Drosophila melanogaster: one gene and its partners. The main gene of each other region encodes a partner of the protein of the gene in region 3 in a complex. Each region holds a gene or a part of one and is shown on either strand. Other genes may lie near its edges. The genes, in order: msl-1, msl-2 and mof.

The links.
Region 1: mof (region 3) and msl-1 share a complex: the UniProt entries of both Drosophila melanogaster proteins name them as parts of the male-specific lethal (MSL) histone acetyltransferase complex.
Region 2: mof (region 3) and msl-2 share a complex: the UniProt entries of both Drosophila melanogaster proteins name them as parts of the male-specific lethal (MSL) histone acetyltransferase complex.

Annotation. Positions count from the first base shown.
Region 1 is NT_033779.5:18,682,768-18,690,475, reverse strand, and holds msl-1 (male-specific lethal 1), read left to right. Parts: upstream 1-1,675; 5' UTR 1,676-2,050; coding exon 2,051-3,289; intron 3,290-3,349; coding exon 3,350-5,230; 3' UTR 5,231-6,756; downstream 6,757-7,708. Other genes in the region: CG10336 (uncharacterized protein), read right to left, coding at 1-682; CG31751 (uncharacterized protein), read right to left, coding at 7,211-7,708. UniProt on the Drosophila melanogaster protein: Component of the male-specific lethal (MSL) histone acetyltransferase complex, a multiprotein complex essential for elevating transcription of the single X chromosome in the male (X chromosome dosage compensation).
Region 2 is NT_033779.5:3,461,545-3,468,138, reverse strand, and holds msl-2 (male-specific lethal 2), read left to right. Parts: upstream 1-2,026; 5' UTR 2,027-2,087; exon of another isoform or gene 2,088-2,220; 5' UTR 2,221-2,499; coding exon 2,500-4,432; intron 4,433-4,484; coding exon 4,485-4,873; 3' UTR 4,874-5,921; downstream 5,922-6,594. Other genes in the region: Pif1 DNA helicase, read left to right, coding at 1-288; ND-PDSW (NADH dehydrogenase (ubiquinone) PDSW subunit), read right to left, coding at 885-1,006, 1,077-1,352, 1,723-1,804; CG3246 (uncharacterized protein), read left to right, coding at 6,288-6,369, 6,433-6,594. UniProt on the Drosophila melanogaster protein: Limiting component of the male-specific lethal (MSL) histone acetyltransferase complex, a multiprotein complex essential for elevating transcription of the single X chromosome in the male (X chromosome dosage compensation).
Region 3 is NC_004354.4:5,873,153-5,878,707, reverse strand, and holds mof (males absent on the first), read left to right. Parts: upstream 1-1,854; 5' UTR 1,855-1,955; coding exon 1,956-4,439; 3' UTR 4,440-4,868; downstream 4,869-5,555. Other genes in the region: Usp30 (ubiquitin specific protease 30), read left to right, coding at 1-662, 903-1,102, 1,161-1,278; GAA1 (glycosylphosphatidylinositol anchor attachment 1), read left to right, coding at 5,452-5,555. UniProt on the Drosophila melanogaster protein: Histone acetyltransferase that catalyzes the formation of the majority of histone H4 acetylation at 'Lys-16' (H4K16ac), an epigenetic mark that prevents chromatin compaction and constitutes the only acetylation mark intergenerationally transmitted.

The DNA of each region.
Region 1 (7,708 bases), on a different chromosome or scaffold from region 3:
CGGAGTACGGCGTGGACATTACAGCATTGCCGCGGGAGAATGACGGAGTAGCCAGCGTGCTGTTACTGGAAGCAGTAGACATTTTCCACTGCTGCGGGCTGGGAGGCGCCAGCCTGGACATGGCAATCTGTTCACCTAGCAGGGCGTCGAACTCATCAAAGGGTTCATCGCCGGCACCTTCCTGTTGCTCATCCTGCGCCTCCTCCAGGGCCTCCGCTTCGTGGGCGCGCATCTGCTCCAGCTGACCGAGTCGATATCGCGCCATGTGCACTTGGAGGGGTTTCTTCTTGCCCAGCCGTTCGATATTGTTAAGCACATCGTCAAAGGTGTAGGTGGGATACATACGATGGCCCCAGTGCTGCAGGCGGCGAAGCACCTCGTCGAGATCGGTTTTCTCGTAACCCTTGCCCTTGAATTTGATGTCCTTAAAATAATCTTCGATGGTCTGGATGCCACGAGGACCTCGAAGTGTTTCCACAGTGAGTCGCGGTCGGGGATTTCTCACAGCTCGCTTCTTAGGCTCCACTATCTGGGCATCCTGGCTACCAGGTTCTACGCCGTTGTCCTCGTCGTCCGCAAACAGCTTTTCGCCTTCGCCATCGCTGGGCAGCTGATCCGGGTCAGTCGGAATGTTGTCATTGAATAGGTCATCCACACCATCATCTCCGAACAGGGATGCCATAGAACTAGTGGCCGAAACTTAAATACCAAATAAACAATCTAACAAAATTTTGGCGCCAATTTTTGTTCTTCTTCTCTATCTACCATTCACAGGCGACGCTTGCATAAGTCACAGGGGGCTGCCAACTGAACAGCTCTTTGTTCTTTTAATTTTCCGATTACATAACTATTTGGTCTTTCCCAAAGGCTATTTTGATTTGCTTAGACATATTTTCATTAGTGGGTGGCACTAAAGGTAATTTGTACAGCCAACCCGGCTTTTGCATTGGTGGCAGCAGACATAAGAGATGGCAGCGTGACACGTTTTTTTTATCACTAAGCGACACATTGGCGTCACGAGTTTTTGTTATTCTATTATATTTATACCATTATACAAGGAAGGATAATTCATCCAAAGATTGTAGTTATTTAAATTTAGTGAAATATTTAAAAGGAGTTGGTAATGTAATAAAATTACCAAAAAAAATAAAATAAAATCAATACATTATTAGCTAGCTAGTTTCTTTTTCATCTATTTTCTCATTCCAATTACTCATACCACATAAAAATTGAAAATAATTATCCGGGGAGCAACGGAAGATTATTATTTACGTTGAGAGAAACTGTCCTCTTTTAACTGCTATCCTTGTGGTCTGGCAGAGTAAGAAATAAAAATGTGTTTAACGACATTTAGTCGGAGTTGACGAGCTGCCGCTCTTTATTCTGGTAACTGCAAATTTAAGCTGAAACTTAAAATGATTCTTAAAGCTAACAAAGACTCCGGCCCAATGCTGTCTCAGCACTTTGATATTATGTTTCATACACTAAGCCAACTGTACTAGTTCGTCGGCTCGTGTTAACTTAGCTATTAGCTATTATGTGCAACAAAGTACAGTTTCGTGAAAATATTTTCACTTCGTGACTGTCGTGCTCAGCTCGTGCATCGCAGCAAATTGCCATCTCTATGCCCCCAATCAACTCTGCGCTTTGGCGAAAAGTGGCAACGCCAGCAAAACGCCATACTTTTAAGAGCATTTTCGGGGCGACTTTACATTGTGAGGACAATTGTGGAAAAAGCGGTGAAAGAACGTTCAAAAACGAACCGAAAAACTGCTGCCTAAATGCGGTCACCACGTGCGATAAGAACGCCACGTTTAAAACGATAAATCCATTAGATTCTGGCCAAGAAAAGAGCGGTTCTTTTGCGAGGGCGAGCAAGGAAAATTTAGTGTGGTGCGAAATTGTAATCGGGATTCTACGCATTGTACGGCGTATCAGCTGAAGAGATTGTGTGCACCCCAAGCGACGCAAACAAAACCAAAACAAAACAAAAACATTTGGAGAATTATGAGATCGTAGGACCGACGGCACGGGATTCAATTCGACTGCCATGGACAAGCGATTCAAGTGGCCGCCCAAAAAGCGGGCCAACTACTTGGAATCGCCCTATCCCCACATACCGTCGCGTGGCCGCCAAAGGAATCTGCACGGCCATCCCAATCAGACGCAGCATCTTCATCAGCATCCCGGGAAGATCTATGAGCGCCAGCAATATGGCAATGGTCGTGGAGGACATGGCGGGGGTAATAACAACTACCGAAAGCTTTTGCATTCGCTGCCAGCTGAGCATGGTGGCGGAGCCATGGCTCCTCCTTCCTCCGGCGGAACCGTGTGTGCCGGCGCCGATATGGTCAAGCTCATCTCGGAGAACAACAACCTGAGGCGCATGGTTATGTTGAACTTAAACCTGATGCAGGAGCAGACGGACAGCATAGCGGCCAAGGACAAGGAGCTGGACGACCAAAGCGCTAAGATGAGCGTGGTGAAGGCGCAGAATGAGGAATTAAAGCAGGCCGTTGCTCAGTTGGAGGCCGCCAACCAGGAACTATGCAAACAGCTGCGGCGAAAGAACCAGCGAAGGAACGACAATGACGACGACGACGATGATCCCCCACTGCCACCTGCTGCCCCGCAGCAGAAGTTGATACGTTGTCATGCTGAGACGCAAACTGTGTTTCGGGAGCGGGAACAGGGCACACAAACGATAGATGCGCAGCCTCAATTCGCGAATGCACTTCCCAGGGGTATCAACATGAAGGAGTCTCCCGCTCTGGACCATCACGCTGGAGCGGTAACGAATCAGCCAGCCAGCAAACGCTCGGAGAGCAAAGGCCGCGGTGAATTCAACGGTAAAAAGGTGAGCACGTTTATTCTCCAGCGCATGAATCAGGACTTCGAGCACCACATCCACGAGCAAACGGAAGTAGCAGAGGAGCACGAGATGGAGGCACATAAGGAGCAAATATCTCAGGAAGAGGACCAACTGGTCGCTGAGGAAGATCATCTGCATATGCAAGAAGTGCACACCGAGGAAGTCGTTGGAGGCGATATCTTTCATGATGCTTTGGAATCAATTGAAATGGAAGTGGTCACCGAAGAGCTGGTTGATATGGAGGAGCATGGACAGTCCGTGGATGCCAACGGCCATATCGAGGAGGATGATGACGAGGACGACGAAGATGACGAGAATAGTGATAAAGACGATGACAGTGAAGAGGATGATTATCCGTGGATGCATAGCGATGCGGATGTAAACGCCAGAACTGAGGAAGAGCTCTGGCAGAATCAGGTATGTTTAATGTTATTATTTAATTAAAAGAATATATCGAGCAATCCTTTACTCTTTCAGAATTACCTTTTGGAATTGGACCCGACGGAGGAGAAGACCTGTGCGCCTTCGGCCCATTCAACTCCCAATCACCAGCAGAAGTCTTCGACACAGGCAGAGATAAGGAAAGAAGGAAATCAGAATCGGATAACTGAAAAGTTGTTGCAACTAAAGCCTGAGCCAATGGTAGATGCATTAGAAGCGCCGATTCTCCCGAAGTGGGTGGCTTTTAAGAAAAAGGATAAGGAACATGAATCAGTCCCCGAGTCCCCAGAAGTACCCAAGCAGCAGCCGCATCAGGAAGATGCCATCGTTGATCATAATGCAATAAAGAATCAGTTGGAAGTTCCCAAGCCGGACTTAAAACCGAAGGACCAGCCCAAAGACGAACAGAGGCAGGATGGGCAGCTGGATGTTCGCGTGGAACCACAAGAGGATGTTCGTAAGGTACAGAAGGAAACTCTGAAAAGGCAACCAGAGGATGCACCTAAGCACCTTCCGAAAGCGGTAGCCCCAAAGGTTACGAAAACATCCTCTCGAGAAAGCACGTTGCCCAAGGCAAACACCGCTGACATAAAAGACGCTCCCGCTCAAAAAGTAATAGCCAACCATCAGTCCACCAAGACGCAAACGGATCCTGTAAAAACGCAGCGTTTGCAGGTTAAGATCAGGCAGTATGAAATGCATCCTGACATGAGAACCGGCTCCTCCGCCCCGTCTGATATTCGGAAACAAAAGAACGTTGATCCAGTTTCGACGCCCGAGACGAAAACCATTAAAAGTAAAAGTATGTTGGTCAATGATAAAAAGACCACGTCGGAAACGTCTCAGAGCCCAGATCAAGAAATAGATGTGGAAACAGTTAGAAGAAAACTGGCGGAACATTTAAAAAAGGAGCTCCTAAGCCAGAGTCATTCGTCACAGGTTACGCTCAAGAAAATAAGAGAGAGAGTCGCCACAAATCTAATATATCCACCACCCAGTGCACCAGTATCCTCAACAACAATAACCCCAGCGCCTACGCCGTCAACGACACCAACGCCTGGCTCAACGCCACAGCATGCGGTTACATCCTCAATGGACCAGGAAATATCTGCAGCAAAATCGAAATCCAAGGCAGCTGAACAAATAGCAACTCCTCTGACACCTCAATCTAATAGCAGTGTTAGCAGCACCACTTCGACTATCCGAAAAACGCTAAACAACTGTTCACCCCACACGTACAGCAAGGCAACGGCGAGATCGGGAAAACTGCAGTCCAGATTCCGCACTGCCACGTTTCCGTACAGCACGAGAACGTGGGAGGATCAGGAGTTCCACTGTGACAACGAGTTCTTCCTGGAGGAGGCCGACGAGCTGCTGGCGGATAACCCTAGTCTGGAGATACCCAAGTGGCGGGATGTCCCAGTGCCACCCAGTTCGGATAAAATTGACACAGAATTACTGAGCGATGCGACCTTCGAGCGCCGGCACCAGAAATATGTGAAGGATGAGGTCGATCGAAAGTGTAGGGATGCACGTTATATGAAGGAGCAGATACGGCTTGAACAGCTTCGGATGCGACGGAACCAAGACGAGGTGTTGGTTGCGCTGGATCCTCTGCGCGCCTCCACTTTCTACCCGCTGCCCGAGGACATAGAGGCCATCCAATTCGTCAACGAGGTGACAGTTCAGGCATTCGGCGAAAACGTGGTCAACATGGAGGCGCGGGATGATTTCGGTGTGCCTTGGGTGGATGCAATCGAAGCGCCAACCTCCATAGCCAGGTCCAAGGCACTGGCTGAGCCGGTGGCAACGTTGGCTAGCAAAAAAATACCCACCACTGCTGCCGAGGCGAGGCATCAAGAAAATCACTCCTCCTACGTGTTTCCCAAGCGACGCAAGCGCCAGAAGAATCGTTAGCCAGGAAACGCCTGGGGGATCTGATACTGGAGCTAAGCAGAAGACTGTCGGTTGGGGGAAGTCGTTGCGTTTGACATACTAATGATTTTCAGTTTTAAATCATGAATTATTTCTTAAGCTTAACGTGAAAGCACCAGAGTTAACAGTAACGATTACCACAGATCGTCTAGAAGTCAAATAATCCAGAGCAGACGATGTTTATTGTATATATGGTTCCTCAACTGTCCGTTTTTATTTGTGTAATAAAATGAACGGAACGCTGAATTCTGGAACATTAGAAATTCTTTGTTATAGAATCTATAAATTTATGTCAAAGTTTTGTCGTTTCTTATGCGATGAGAGATCTTAAAAGGCAAGTAAATTGAGCTGTCCTATTCAAACATTTTTCTATTAAATTGTTATCATATTTATTTCCTTGAAATATAAATAATTCGATCTTATATTAGATGTAAATGAATCCAAATGTTCGTCGCCTGGTCTGGAAATGATTAGTTTTTAGTTAACGTCTTGCAATTGAAAAGAGTTTCACCCTTGCTTGTTTCCAATGTACGTAAATTACTTAGTCCCACACAGCATGTAATTCAAACCAGTCGCTTAGTTAGATTGGTTAACTCATCTCAGCTTTATCACCTTTAAAATCGCCCGCACTAAAGTGATAAGAACACGAAAGATATTCACATAAGTTATATTGGGCATTTTTTTGGAGAAAAACAATGAAATTCGTAGACTTATATTTTTAAATATTTTTTTTCTTTAGCCCTTATAACCATTTTTTTTGTCTTTGTTTATACTGTTATATCTGTCGATTCTCGAATGCAGACAACGTGTGTGTTGCAAAGAGTTACTCAGGTATATCTCTGATAATTTGTCTTTTTTTTTAGGATTTGATTGTGTAAAAATTGAGTGCGAGTGGTTGTCTGCTTCGAGTAATCAAATTATACATTGGATCTATTGTTTTATTTTATTAACTTCATTAAACTTGTTTTATGTTGTATCGAACAAGAAAGGCCGTTAAGATGAAAACTAGATTTGAAGAATAAATATAAAACTGATTCCCGAACTGCACACCCGTTTGGCCTTATGGGCACCATGTATTTTTGGCTAAATATTGTTTCGTTTAACACTTCTTCTGTTTGACTTTCTGTCGCAATGATATGGAGCCTGCCAACGTCCGGAGAAATCAAATCACCAGCTCGCTTTCGAGTGGCGTCTTATTTTTGTACATTTCGATAGGTGTAAAGTCGGTTACTTGTAATATAGCGTTAAGTAGGCACTGTACCCAAACGCATAGAGATAATTATAATGTAACAAAGTAAATACGATACGATGTACATTGTCCAGGAAAAGGAGGAGCGGAGGGTGGATGAACTTCGTTCAACACCATTTTACACCATTCAATGTAATTAGCGTTAAATAGTTCAATTTACTGAAGCTTCAACTAAAAATCAATTCGAAATTAATTGCCACCATTGTAGAGCCCTAAACAAACTCACCTACTGTAAGAATAAATGTACTACATACAATGTATTTGTATTTGTTTAACAAGTTTTATTGTAAAGATAACGATAATAATATACAGGATAAAGTAAATTGTAAAGCAACGAAATGCAATCAATACTTGGACTTGCAACTTATTTTGCACAGGTGATATGTAAATGAAATTCTAATAATTGACAATGGGTTTATTTAACAGGCCTCAATTGATTTTCCAATGACCTGGCATCGCTTGCTTCTGGTTTCCTTAGATGTCTTTTTGTTTGCGATCATCTCGATATAAACTTGTTTAGGGGCTAATTGCAAATGTATTTAATATCTTAGAAAATGCTTCATTATACTCTATATATTGGCTGTGACAATTTTATCTGACCCTCGTTACCTAATGGAAAACATAACATACAAAATCTTCAACAACCAGAATAGCTGGATTGAAAATCAGTTAAAATACCTTTAAAAAACGGAAAAGCCTAACGGAATTTTATATTATTTATTGCTCTGCGTCAAGTACTGGTGTCCAGTGCTTGCCCACAGCTCATCAATATCGTCAAAGCTCTCGCGCCACAGCTTCTGAAGGAGCTTCCATCCCTTTTCCTGGGTCACCAGGAGGTACTCATTTGTGGGATGCAGCGTGTGGGTGTAGAGTCCCATTACCAGGCTCTGAACAAATCGGGCAGTAACACAGTACTTGAGAAGGGCCAGCTCGGAATTCTCAATTGGGTTCAGACTGGTATAACCGGACAGAAATATGCCACCATTGGCCAAATCGTTGGCCTGCAGTATCATATAAGTGAGGGCAATTCCAATTTCGAAGATCAGTGGCGATTTGCTCGTATCACCGAAATCAATAACTCCCTTGATGGTATATTCAGTTTGATTGGGCACCTGCTCCACCACTATATTTTGTTCGTTGAAGTCCCCATGGATGATCTGGTGCTCCATGGATGGCAGTTGGCTCAGAACCTTGGCTTCAAAGGCATCGAT
Region 2 (6,594 bases), on a different chromosome or scaffold from region 3:
GAGATGTCCCTTTCCAAAGTATTTGAGGCTGGACAGGCCTATGTGGCCTTATCCCGTGCGAAATCCCTGCAGTCCATTCGCATCCTGGACTTTGACGCCAAGCAAGTGTGGGCCAATCCACACGTGCTGCAGTTCTACAAGGGATTCAGACGCAAGCTAATGGACACAACCATGATACCATTGGGTCCCAAAAACAAGGACAAGAAGCCAGGAGACAAGGCCGCAAATAGCGCTCTGGCTAAGCTCAAAAAGAGTCTCATCAACAAGCCGCTGGTCTCGATTAGCTGAGCTCGAAAGTAATCTAAGATAGCGTAATTCTAGAAAGCTTGAACAAATTTCACTATTGCCTATCTATTGGTATCTATTTCTAAAAGTGTAATTTTTTCTTTTTTTAAGAAAAGCAAATGATTTATGGACTGTGCATTCCTTTTTTTAAAAAATGAGAAATTATGGAACTCTTTTTGAAATTGTCTAAATTTTCGAAAAAGTCTGAAGAATTACAGTGTGAGTTTTATGATTTATCACTATATTCTGTAAACTTATTGCAGTACGCAGGCAAAAACTTTATTTTACTCACTGGAACAACTTAACCAAGGCTCTTAATCTTGAGAACTATTAGTTTTAAGCTAGTCTATAGCCAAAATTCTATATCAAACGCCAATATTAATATTTATTTTAAGAAAAACATGACTAAGAATAAATGCAACTAATAGACAAATGAATTGAAACTGCTGTAGTAATAAATAATTCCTAGTAGCTCTTACCTTATAATTTACACTGAAACAATTGAAAGAAAGCTCAATCCTTGGGAATATCGTTTTACGGCGTGTATATTTTGTTTTAACGGATAATGAAACTAGAAAACATCATCATAAAAGCGGAGTTTAATGGGCGGCCTCCTCCTTCATGCCACTGCCCACTGGTCCATGACGACGCTCCCAGATCAGACGATGCTTCTGCTTCATGTACGCGGTCTTGGCATTGGCGTAGCCTCCCAAGTCGCCATCTATAATGGGTTATATCTCGTTATATATCACATACAACTTTAAAGAAGATGGGTAAGGGATTCCACTCACACTTGATGAACCAGTTCTCGGTGGCCTTCTCGTACTGATCCATCAGCGGCCTGCACTTGACCATGTGATCGGGTGCCTCGTAGAGGGTGCAGTCCTCGAAGCGCTGGCGCAGAATGTTGACAATCTCGTTGTCGACCATGCGATCCCGGCGGAACTGCTGATCGGCCTCGAAACGGCAGACGGCATCGTCCGTGTAGCACTGGTCGATCGTCGGAACGCGGCGGAAGCGCTGGTGGTACCAATTCTGCTTCTGCTGGTTCGGCTCCACAATGCTCTCTGTGGGATTAACACAAGGCGCATTAATAAAATATACTAGCTGTAATGCATTTCTGTTGAAAAACATGATCCCGCTTTGACTAGATGAACTATATAGTAACGGACGGCATTTAAGGGCTGCCGACTAGTATTCTAAGAGATTTAGTTTGCGCTAGCTAGAAATTACTTAAAACGGTTGATTATAAACATTTTAGCATTTCAGCAATACAGTGTAAACAAAAACAAATGGACTGCGAGTTGAGGTTATGTCATTATGTAATTGTCTGGAATTTGTCCGGTTTTTCCGATCGTTGGCCAAAGGAAACGCAAACTTGCAGCATCTGGAGACTCCCATGACCATGGCCATTGGGAATCCCTGTGGACTACATACCACGGAACCAAGTTATGGGTCCATCGATGACATTCAGCACCGACTCGGCAAAACTGGCCATCGGACTGCGCGGTTCCGGCATTTTCTGGCTCTCCTACCACCTGGCGTAAGCGGAAGAGCTGTTAGTAAATAATTTCCAAGGTTTTCCGCTTTCCTTTGACGGAAAATACTTAAAAAACCATATTTACTTGAAAAACTAAGTGTTAAAATTTGTTGTAGGACCGCAGTTCGTAACTGCGAAAATTCCTCAGAGCACTGAAATCAGCTGTTCGAGGTAGTGGTCACACCTATGCCGCACTGCAGCTAGCATGTTCGCACTGGCACACTGCGGTCACACTGGCTTCGCTCAGCAAAATATTGCTTGGGTAATTTTTTTTTTTAGTTGCTAATTTATTGTTTTCAACGCTGTTGCACAGTGTGCAGCATAACCATTAACAATGACTTGAGACCTCTCAAACGTAAACCAATTTTTTTTTTTTTTTTGCACGTGAAACATAGTGATAACGAAGCCACAAAAGTGAAACCAACAAAAAGCGTTCCAGTAAAGTTACCATTAGATAATGAAATCGAGGATTAACGCGGTCTAAGCATGTGTAACTGAGCTCCTACGGGCGAGGAATTGCAGGTAACTAGCCCAGGAGGCACCAGGTAGCGGAGCAGGTGGCGTGGGTCGGACCGACAAGGCACTTACTTGGCCAGCGGAGTCTCACTTTTGGGCTGAAAAACGTAAACAAACAGCGGCGTGCGTACAGTCCCGGGCATAAAAATATAGCCATCATGGCCCAGACGGCATACTTGAAGGTGACACGCATCGCGATGCGCTCCGCTTCGAATCTTTCCAAACGGCGGGTGGAGGAGCTGAACTCCGGGCTCGGCGAGCTACGGCAGCTGCTGTCTTGCGTGGTCTGCTGCCAGCTGCTGGTGGATCCCTACTCGCCCAAGGGCAAGCGGTGCCAGCACAACGTGTGCCGGCTGTGTCTGCGCGGTAAGAAGCATCTGTTTCCCAGCTGCACCCAGTGCGAGGGTTGCTCCGACTTCAAGACCTACGAGGAGAACCGTATGATGGCCGCCCAGCTACTGTGCTACAAGACGCTGTGCGTCCACCTGCTCCACTCGGCATTATTTGGTGAGCTGGCCGGGATGCGGCCCCAGGTGGCCAGGGAGCTGGTGCCTCGCATCAAGCTGCCTCCCAAAACCACACAGGAGTTCATTCGCGAGGGCTCAAACATCTCCGACACTTTTGACATCTTTCTGCCCCAGCCGGATTTGCCGTTCCTCAAGGACATGCCCACATCGCTGCCCGCAGAGACGCCGCCTACGTCGGCGGTCACGACTCCGGAACTGCCCTATGATCACCACCTCAACATCAGCGACATTGAGGCGGAGGCGGCGGCCACAGCGGAGCAGGGTCACTTCTCGCCGCTTCCCCTGCTGCCCACAGGATCTCGCATGGGCATGCTCTCTCACGCCGGGCAAATAGTCATTGCCACCGAGAGCTCGGAGTCGGGCTTCATGGACCAAGCGTGGACGGATCAGGTAGACCTGTCTGGCACGGTTTCGGTGTCCAAATACACAAATAGCGGCAACAACTTTGCTGTCTCCTACGTGATGCCCACTTCTGCGACCACGAAGTTCGATCCACAGGAACTGCAAATCGGCCAGGTGGTGCAAATGGCGGACTCCACTCAGTTGGCTGTGCTGGCTGCCGTTGAGGAGACCGTCGAGACGTCCACACAGTTGACTGTGCTCTCCACCACCGTTGAAGAGACCGTTGAAACATCCACGCAGCTAGAAGTGCTTACCTCCGCTGAGGAACCCAACGAAATCTCTGATCAATTGGCTAATCTGCAAGTTGAGGAATCTGATGAGGCTCTGGTTGAAGAGACCGTTGAAGAGGCCGAAGGGACCTCAATCCCGTCAGAGGTTGTAGCTGAGCACATGGAGGAGGATCAACACTTGGATGTGCACACTTCACAGTCACCTACACAAACCGAAATGGAGGAAGCAGTGGAGGAGCATGTTGCCACAAAAACACAATTGGGTCATGTGCAAACAGAATTGCAGGATGCGGAGTCGTTGCAGAAAGATTTTGAGGACGCAAAGGCAGCGGCTGAAGAGGCGAAGGAGAAGGAGAAGGACCTGCACGCAATCAGTGCTGAGCTGCAGAAGGAGGACAGTGACGAGCCAACACTTAAGCGAAAGAGAACCCGTACTCTCAAAGCGTCACAAGCTGCCAAAATTGAGCCTGTACCGTCTGAGGTCAAGACTAAAGTGCAATCTGGAAAGGGCGCTCTTCGCAGGATTCGGGGCAAGGACAAGGAGGAAAAGGTGAAGCCTCCGAAGCCGAAGTGCCGCTGCGGTATCTCCGGCTCGAGCAATACCCTCACCACCTGCCGGAATTCCCGATGTCCTTGCTACAAGAGTTACAACAGCTGTGCCGGGTGTCATTGCGTGTGCTGCAAGAATCCGCACAAGGAGGACTACGTTGAAAGTGATGAGGACGATGATTTGGAGGATTTCGAAATGCCGAAGGACGTTCCAGAGCCGATGACTCAGTCGGAGGAGCCGGTGGTAGCTGAGCCTAGGCAGGAGGAGAACAGTATGGCGCCGCCAGACTCTTCTGCCCCCATAAGCCTAGTGCCGCTAAATAATTTGCAGCAATCCCAGCATCCTTTGGTGCTTGTTCAGAATGAGAAAGGCGAGTACCAGGGTAAGTTACCTCATCGCTGTGTTAGACCTATCTAACCCTGTTCCAATTGCAGGCTTCAATATCTTCCAGGGCAGCAAGCCCCTTGATCCGGTCACCGTTGGCTTCACTATTCGTGTCCAGCTGCAGCACACCGATGGCTTCGGTTCCCTTCCCCAGTATGCTTATATAATGCCAACAATTGACCCGCCGAATCCACCAGCTCCATCACTTTCGCCACCACCGCCTCCTGCTCCTGACAGGGAAGTCATCGAGCCACCGGCCAAGAAATTCAGGACCAGTCGAACACGCCGAGGAAGGGCCAACTTCTCGGCCCTCGACACGGTGGATGAGCTTGTCAGTGGCGGATCCAGGAGCAATTCTGCCGCTGGCGACAGATCATCGGCCACTGACAATGCCCATTCACTGTTCGAGGAGATCATGTCGGGCTCGGATGACTTGTAAGCAAGACGACTCATCCCTATATGTTTGTTTTTTTATGTGCTCAGTGATGTCCAGGTATCAATCCTTTAATAGATAATTTTTATGTACGTTATGGATGGTCGAATTCAGCACTGAATTGCATCCATAACGTGGTATCGTCTTTGATCCTCTTATCATACCCGTTATTCGTAGAGTAAAAGGGTATACTAGATGTGTTTCCGACCATGTAAAGTATATATATTCTTGATCAGGATCAATAGTCGAGTCGATCTGGCCCTGTCCGTATGAATGTCTCGATCTCAGGAACTATAAAAGCTAGAAGGTTGAGATTAAGCATATAAATTCTAGAGACATAGATGCAGCGCTTGGTTGTTTACCCATGTTGCCACGCCCACTTACCGCCCAAAACTTCCACGCCCACAATTTTAAATTTTTTCTCATTTTATTTCCCAATATCTCTTGGATATCCCAGAAAAATGATGAAATTTCGCGTTCGTATTTCCACTAGCTGAGTAACGGGTATCTGATAGTCGGGAAATTCGACTTTAGCATTCTCTCTTGTTTTTAACTTGTGGTTTCGTTATGCTATATATTCCCCCACTCAAACAACTTCCACTCAAATCAACTCCCAAATATCTTTTAGGAGCATTCTACAATCTGATTTTTGTAATCATCCAGCAAACGTTTCCAAAACTCAATTTTTTTTTAATACGTATTAAGCCAAAAGTCGTATACATAACTATTTAAAGCAATTCTGCAGCTGCAGCAAAGATAATCTATTTAAGAGTAAAGCATTAGTCAAAACTAAAGATTATTTTCGTTCAACGAACAGCGAATTATAGATTGCTTTGCCCAAAATGTGGATGCTGTGAGCTAAAAAAAACCTTTTTTTTTAATAGGCTAAGACATTTTTTTGAATAGGCTAAGACTTTTTTTGAGCATGAATTTTTTTGAGCACGTGAACCTAGGATTAAGAACAACAATTCAAGTAAGCCATATATACCCATATTATATATGCGAACATATAACTATTAAAATATTCAAATAAAAATGAGCATTGCTACTACAGAAAAATGCGCGATTTTCTTTGGGTTTCAAAACCGTTTTCGAACCGTAACACTCTTTGCCTCATGCAAGCTGCTAGTTCATGATTTCTAGAACATCGTTCCTGGGAGTGGAGTGAGTTCCATGAGTGCCTACAATGTGCTGGCCGCTTCCGCTCACTTAAGTCACTCAATCTCAATTCCGAGTTTAATCAGCAGCTCCGCGAGCAGAGTCGCCCTTAGATAAGCGGATCGCCGCCTGCGGCTCATCATTATCTTTTGATTAACGCGCCAGTCGACAGTGCGTGTTTGTTCCGAGTAGAGAACGGAGGCTGGCGCGTTTTCTTCCATTTTCCAACTGATAAGCAGAAGCTCCAGCTAATCCCCGAAAGATGAAGCCGTTGATAGTGGTCGTGCTCGTGGGCCTGATGGCAAGTGGCTGCCACATTGTTCACTCCCAGGAGCCTGGCGATGGTAAGACGAATTCCAGTCTGAGCTCTACCGGAACTAAGCCACTCATTAATGACCTTTGAGCAGCTGTGGAGCAGGAAGCCAGCGAGTCGGATGACGCACTTAAGATCAAAGAGAGTCAGGCCAGCATAGCCGCCCAGGTGGAGGCCATGCTCGTGCACTTTCAGCAGGAGGATCCGCAGGGTCTGCCCGGCGTGCCCGTGCCCGATCCGTTGGAGGTGCCCAATG
Region 3 (5,555 bases):
TTTGCGAACGCGACGGAAACGATCGCCTGGGATCCGTGCTTCTGGATGCCGTTTCGCCAGGGACACCCTTTGGCTTTCCGCTCGTCAGCAATCCGGATTCCTTGGCTACGCCTATGTTGGGCGGCGAGCGTTCGTCGCGACCGCGACTTCCACAATCCCAACAGCAGCAGGATGAGGGTCTGAATCGCCGGGTGTCCAGCTCCTGTCGATCGCTAGAGCGCCTGCATCGCGGACCAGGTCGGGTGTCCATCTGGTCCAACATGATGCCCAGCCAAGTGGCGCATCCGTTTCAGGGCGCCATGGGCGCACAGATCGTGTGCAATGGCTGCGGCTCCAAGTCGGCCGTTCGGTACGATAAGTTCGACAGCATAACGCTAAATCTGCCGCCGCAACGCAGAACTGGCTTGAGTTTGGGCCACTTGCTTAGCGAGTATATCACATCGGAGGATCTGAGCGATGTCAAGTGTGACTCCTGCAACGAGACCACCACGCACACCAAATCGGTTACGTTCGCTAAACTACCGGCCTGCCTGTGCATCCATGTGGCGCGGACGGTGTGGCTGCCAACTGGACAGGTGTGCAAGCGGAAGGACTATGTACACTTCCCCGAGAGCCTCTCCATGGCGCCCTACAGCTTCGTGCAGCCGCATCTCAATAGCCAGGTGAGCGTGTGTTGCATATGTTTGCCCCAGAATAACAAACTTCCCCTGTAAAAATTATCCTTATATATGATCATTTAAATACATATATCTAAAGGATATATATGTATAGGATATATCTATAGAATATAGGTCTTTCCTTTTCTAATTGGTGTACAAAGAGTAGTGGCATTCAATTCAAGAACTGTTTACATTTAGTAACTAGCATATTGTTAAAACAAACACTTTTGCTCATGATTACAGGCTGGCACTCCCTGGGGCTCGACAATGTCGCTGTATTCCTCCAGCCTGCCGATGAACAATGGCGTTGGTGGTGGCGAGGGCTTTGGCACGATGTTCCCCAAGAATCTTTACCGGCTTCTGGCCGTGGTGGTGCACTCCGGGGAGGCAAACAGCGGTCACTTTGTAACCTACAGGCGTGGCTCGTTGCGGAACGCACATCGGTATGGTTTCCATTGCCTCTGTGTAATAATTATGCTAATTCTGTGCTATCCTTATTAGGTGGTACTACACATCGGATACAATTGTGCGGGAGGTGAGCATCGACGAGGTGTTGAGCGTCCCCGCCTATCTTTTATTCTACGATCGTGGCCAGCAGAGGCAGCTAAATCTGCGCTAGTCAGGTGTAGGTCGTCGGTATTATTCTAGTCCATACTTTTGATGTGATGAATATGAATATCCGAAACCAAATCCTTTTCGTCGAACGGTGGCCATAGCAAACACGCGTCACATTTATATAGATATATATACATAACTCATATAAGTACGGGAACCCACGATGATCTGACCTATACTCGGCGGGTTCATGTAATGGTCTCCGCATAATCCAAACTCTGTGTACGGCTTATTGCATATAGGAACTCCCTATCGTAACAGAGAGCTCGACTCTTCATTTGTTATCTATGCATTTAAGATTTTTTAAGAATTCCAAATTCATGCCGTGCTTTTAGCTGTCTGTATTTAGCAATGTACACAAATCAACTACCAATAATTGTTTGCGCGTTAATTCTGTAGGATAGATGTTCAATAAAAATTTCGAAATCAGTTCCAATTTTTTAAAGTGCTTTCTCTGAAGGTTTTGGATAAATAAAATATATTATAATACTGAATGCACAGAAAAATCCAGAAGGGTAATTTCAAAAAGGGTGCAAAGTATTGTACATCGATAACCACCGATTAATAATCGATTATCTGGACATGTTGTGATAAATCAGGGTTGCATTTCACGCCGTATTTCGTTTCATTTCCCTAAAGAGTGAACAAAAATACGCAATTGGACAAATCTAGTGGCTAAGAATGTCTGAAGCGGAGCTGGAACAGACACCCAGCGCGGGCCACGTGCAGGAGCAGCCGATTGAGGAGGAGCATGAGCCGGAACAGGAGCCAACCGATGCGTACACAATTGGCGGTCCGCCGAGGACGCCGGTTGAAGATGCGGCGGCCGAATTGAGCGCCAGTCTAGACGTCAGCGGCTCGGATCAGTCGGCGGAGCAGTCGCTCGACCTCAGCGGTGTCCAAGCGGAGGCCGCGGCGGAGTCAGAGCCACCGGCGAAGCGCCAGCATCGCGACATCAGTCCCATTTCGGAGGACAGCACGCCGGCGAGCAGCACATCGACTAGTTCCACCAGGTCGTCCAGCTCCTCCCGCTACGACGATGTTAGCGAGGCGGAGGAGGCACCACCGGAGCCCGAGCCGGAGCAACCACAGCAGCAGCAGCAGGAGGAAAAGAAGGAGGACGGTCAGGATCAGGTGAAGTCACCAGGTCCAGTTGAATTGGAGGCACAGGAGCCCGCGCAGCCGCAGAAGCAGAAAGAGGTGGTGGACCAGGAAATTGAAACCGAGGATGAGCCCTCCTCCGATACGGTAATCTGCGTGGCCGACATCAACCCCTACGGCAGTGGTTCCAACATTGACGACTTCGTTATGGATCCCGATGCTCCTCCCAATGCAATAATCACCGAGGTGGTTACCATTCCAGCTCCTCTTCATCTCAAAGGGACACAACAACTGGGGCTGCCATTGGCTGCCCCACCGCCACCACCACCTCCTCCAGCAGCGGAACAAGTCCCCGAGACTCCCGCCTCGCCCACAGATGACGGCGAGGAACCACCAGCAGTATATTTATCCCCCTACATACGCTCTCGCTACATGCAGGAATCGACACCTGGCCTGCCCACCCGCCTGGCGCCGCGTGATCCTCGCCAGCGCAACATGCCGCCGCCAGCCGTAGTTCTGCCCATTCAAACCGTACTTAGCGCCAACGTTGAGGCCATTTCTGACGACAGCAGCGAAACTAGCAGCAGCGATGACGATGAAGAGGAAGAGGAGGACGAAGATGATGCCTTGACCATGGAGCACGACAACACTTCCAGGGAGACGGTCATCACAACAGGTGACCCTCTGATGCAAAAGATCGATATAAGCGAAAATCCCGACAAGATCTATTTTATTCGGCGCGAGGATGGCACCGTGCACCGTGGCCAGGTGCTTCAGTCTCGCACCACTGAGAATGCGGCCGCTCCCGATGAGTACTACGTCCACTATGTTGGTCTCAATCGCCGCCTGGACGGATGGGTGGGCAGGCATAGGATCTCGGACAATGCGGATGACTTGGGCGGTATTACCGTGCTGCCAGCGCCACCATTAGCCCCCGATCAGCCAAGTACTAGCAGGGAAATGCTCGCCCAACAGGCCGCCGCGGCGGCAGCTGCCTCATCCGAACGGCAGAAGCGTGCGGCCAACAAGGATTACTATCTGTCCTATTGCGAGAACAGTCGCTATGACTACAGCGACCGCAAGATGACACGCTACCAGAAGCGGCGCTACGATGAGATCAACCACGTGCAGAAGAGCCACGCTGAGCTGACCGCCACGCAGGCGGCGCTGGAGAAGGAGCACGAGTCCATTACGAAGATCAAGTACATTGATAAGCTGCAGTTTGGCAACTACGAGATCGACACCTGGTACTTTAGTCCCTTCCCCGAAGAATATGGCAAGGCACGTACGTTATATGTTTGCGAGTACTGCCTAAAGTACATGCGCTTCAGGTCGAGCTATGCCTATCATCTGCACGAATGCGACCGCAGGCGTCCGCCCGGAAGAGAGATCTACCGCAAGGGCAATATATCCATTTACGAGGTGAACGGCAAGGAGGAGTCACTATACTGCCAACTTTTGTGTCTGATGGCCAAGCTCTTTTTGGACCACAAGGTTCTATACTTCGACATGGACCCGTTTCTCTTTTACATCCTTTGCGAGACGGACAAGGAGGGCAGTCACATTGTGGGCTATTTCTCCAAGGAAAAGAAGTCGCTGGAAAACTACAACGTGGCCTGCATTCTGGTATTGCCGCCGCATCAGCGTAAGGGATTTGGAAAGCTACTAATAGCCTTTAGCTATGAGCTGTCGCGCAAGGAGGGCGTAATCGGTAGTCCGGAGAAACCGCTCTCGGATCTGGGTAGGCTGAGCTATCGCAGCTATTGGGCATACACGCTGCTGGAGCTGATGAAAACCCGCTGCGCTCCAGAGCAGATCACAATCAAGGAGCTGAGCGAAATGAGTGGCATCACCCACGACGACATTATCTACACGCTGCAGTCCATGAAGATGATCAAGTATTGGAAGGGCCAGAATGTCATTTGCGTTACGTCCAAGACCATTCAAGACCACCTCCAGCTGCCGCAGTTCAAGCAGCCCAAGCTGACCATCGACACCGATTACCTCGTCTGGAGTCCGCAAACTGCAGCGGCAGTGGTCAGAGCTCCGGGAAATTCCGGCTAGCATACGGAACCTGGAGACCCCGTTCTGCTATCATCGCATATAATTGTTATTGACGATGACGATTAGGTTTTTTTTTTTTATTTTTTTTTAAAGAAAGCGTAGGAATAAGCTATTCTATTGCACCCCTCCAAACGAAAAATGTATAGTCATATATCTAAATGGAACCATCAGAAGGTTCAATGTAATACTTAACATTTGGTTTACAATTTTTTTTTTTTATAGTTAAGGAGTTTTACGGATAGGCTGTTGTAACTCTTAATGATAGAACCAAATGTCTAATTCGTTTGGCTAATGTTTTTGGAGAGGGAATTTGGAACAACCATTTAAAAATTTTAAAAACTTCTGTGTTCTTGAAATATATATCTTTAACTACTTTATCTCGAAAAACTCTGGACTTGTTAAAAACCAAATAAACTTCCACAGCAGCCGATATGCCGACGCCTGAAGAGAATACATCTCTATGAACTCCTTACACGTAAGATAGCATAATCTCTCCACGGTACATTTTTATACACTATAATTAAGGAAGAGAATCCATAATATCTTTTAGGCTACACATTAGGTTAAGTTCAGAAAGAACTGAACGATTCCTACTGACTAATGAACAATAATAAATGATTTAAACTGTAAAAAAGAAAAACTCCAATCTGAGAACATGATGTACTTTCTCAAATAAATGCGTCGTTACATTAACGTCAAAAAGAGGAAAAATTAAATAAATATTTACAACGACAGGTTATTCTTTTCATTATTTTTGCAACACATTTCTTGTAGGTTAGCTTAATATGTATATTTTGATATAATAAAAAATATATATAGAAATATCGAAAACATTGGAAAAACAAGTTTAAAATTTCGAGCATTAAAATCCATTGCTAACCCTCTCCTCCCTAGCGTCATAAGCAATCGGTTATCGAGGTTATCGATAACGCCCGCATCGATACAATTCCGCCGGCTTGTCCGATTCGTGTTGTTGTGATTCGGGATATATACAGGATATAGGGCAGCCAAAATGGGCCTGCTGTCCGATCCGTCGATATCGACGCAAAGCAAGCTGGTGGACGGACTGGCGCGTCATGTTCGCAAGGTGTGCTACGCCCTTTATGTGGCGGGTGT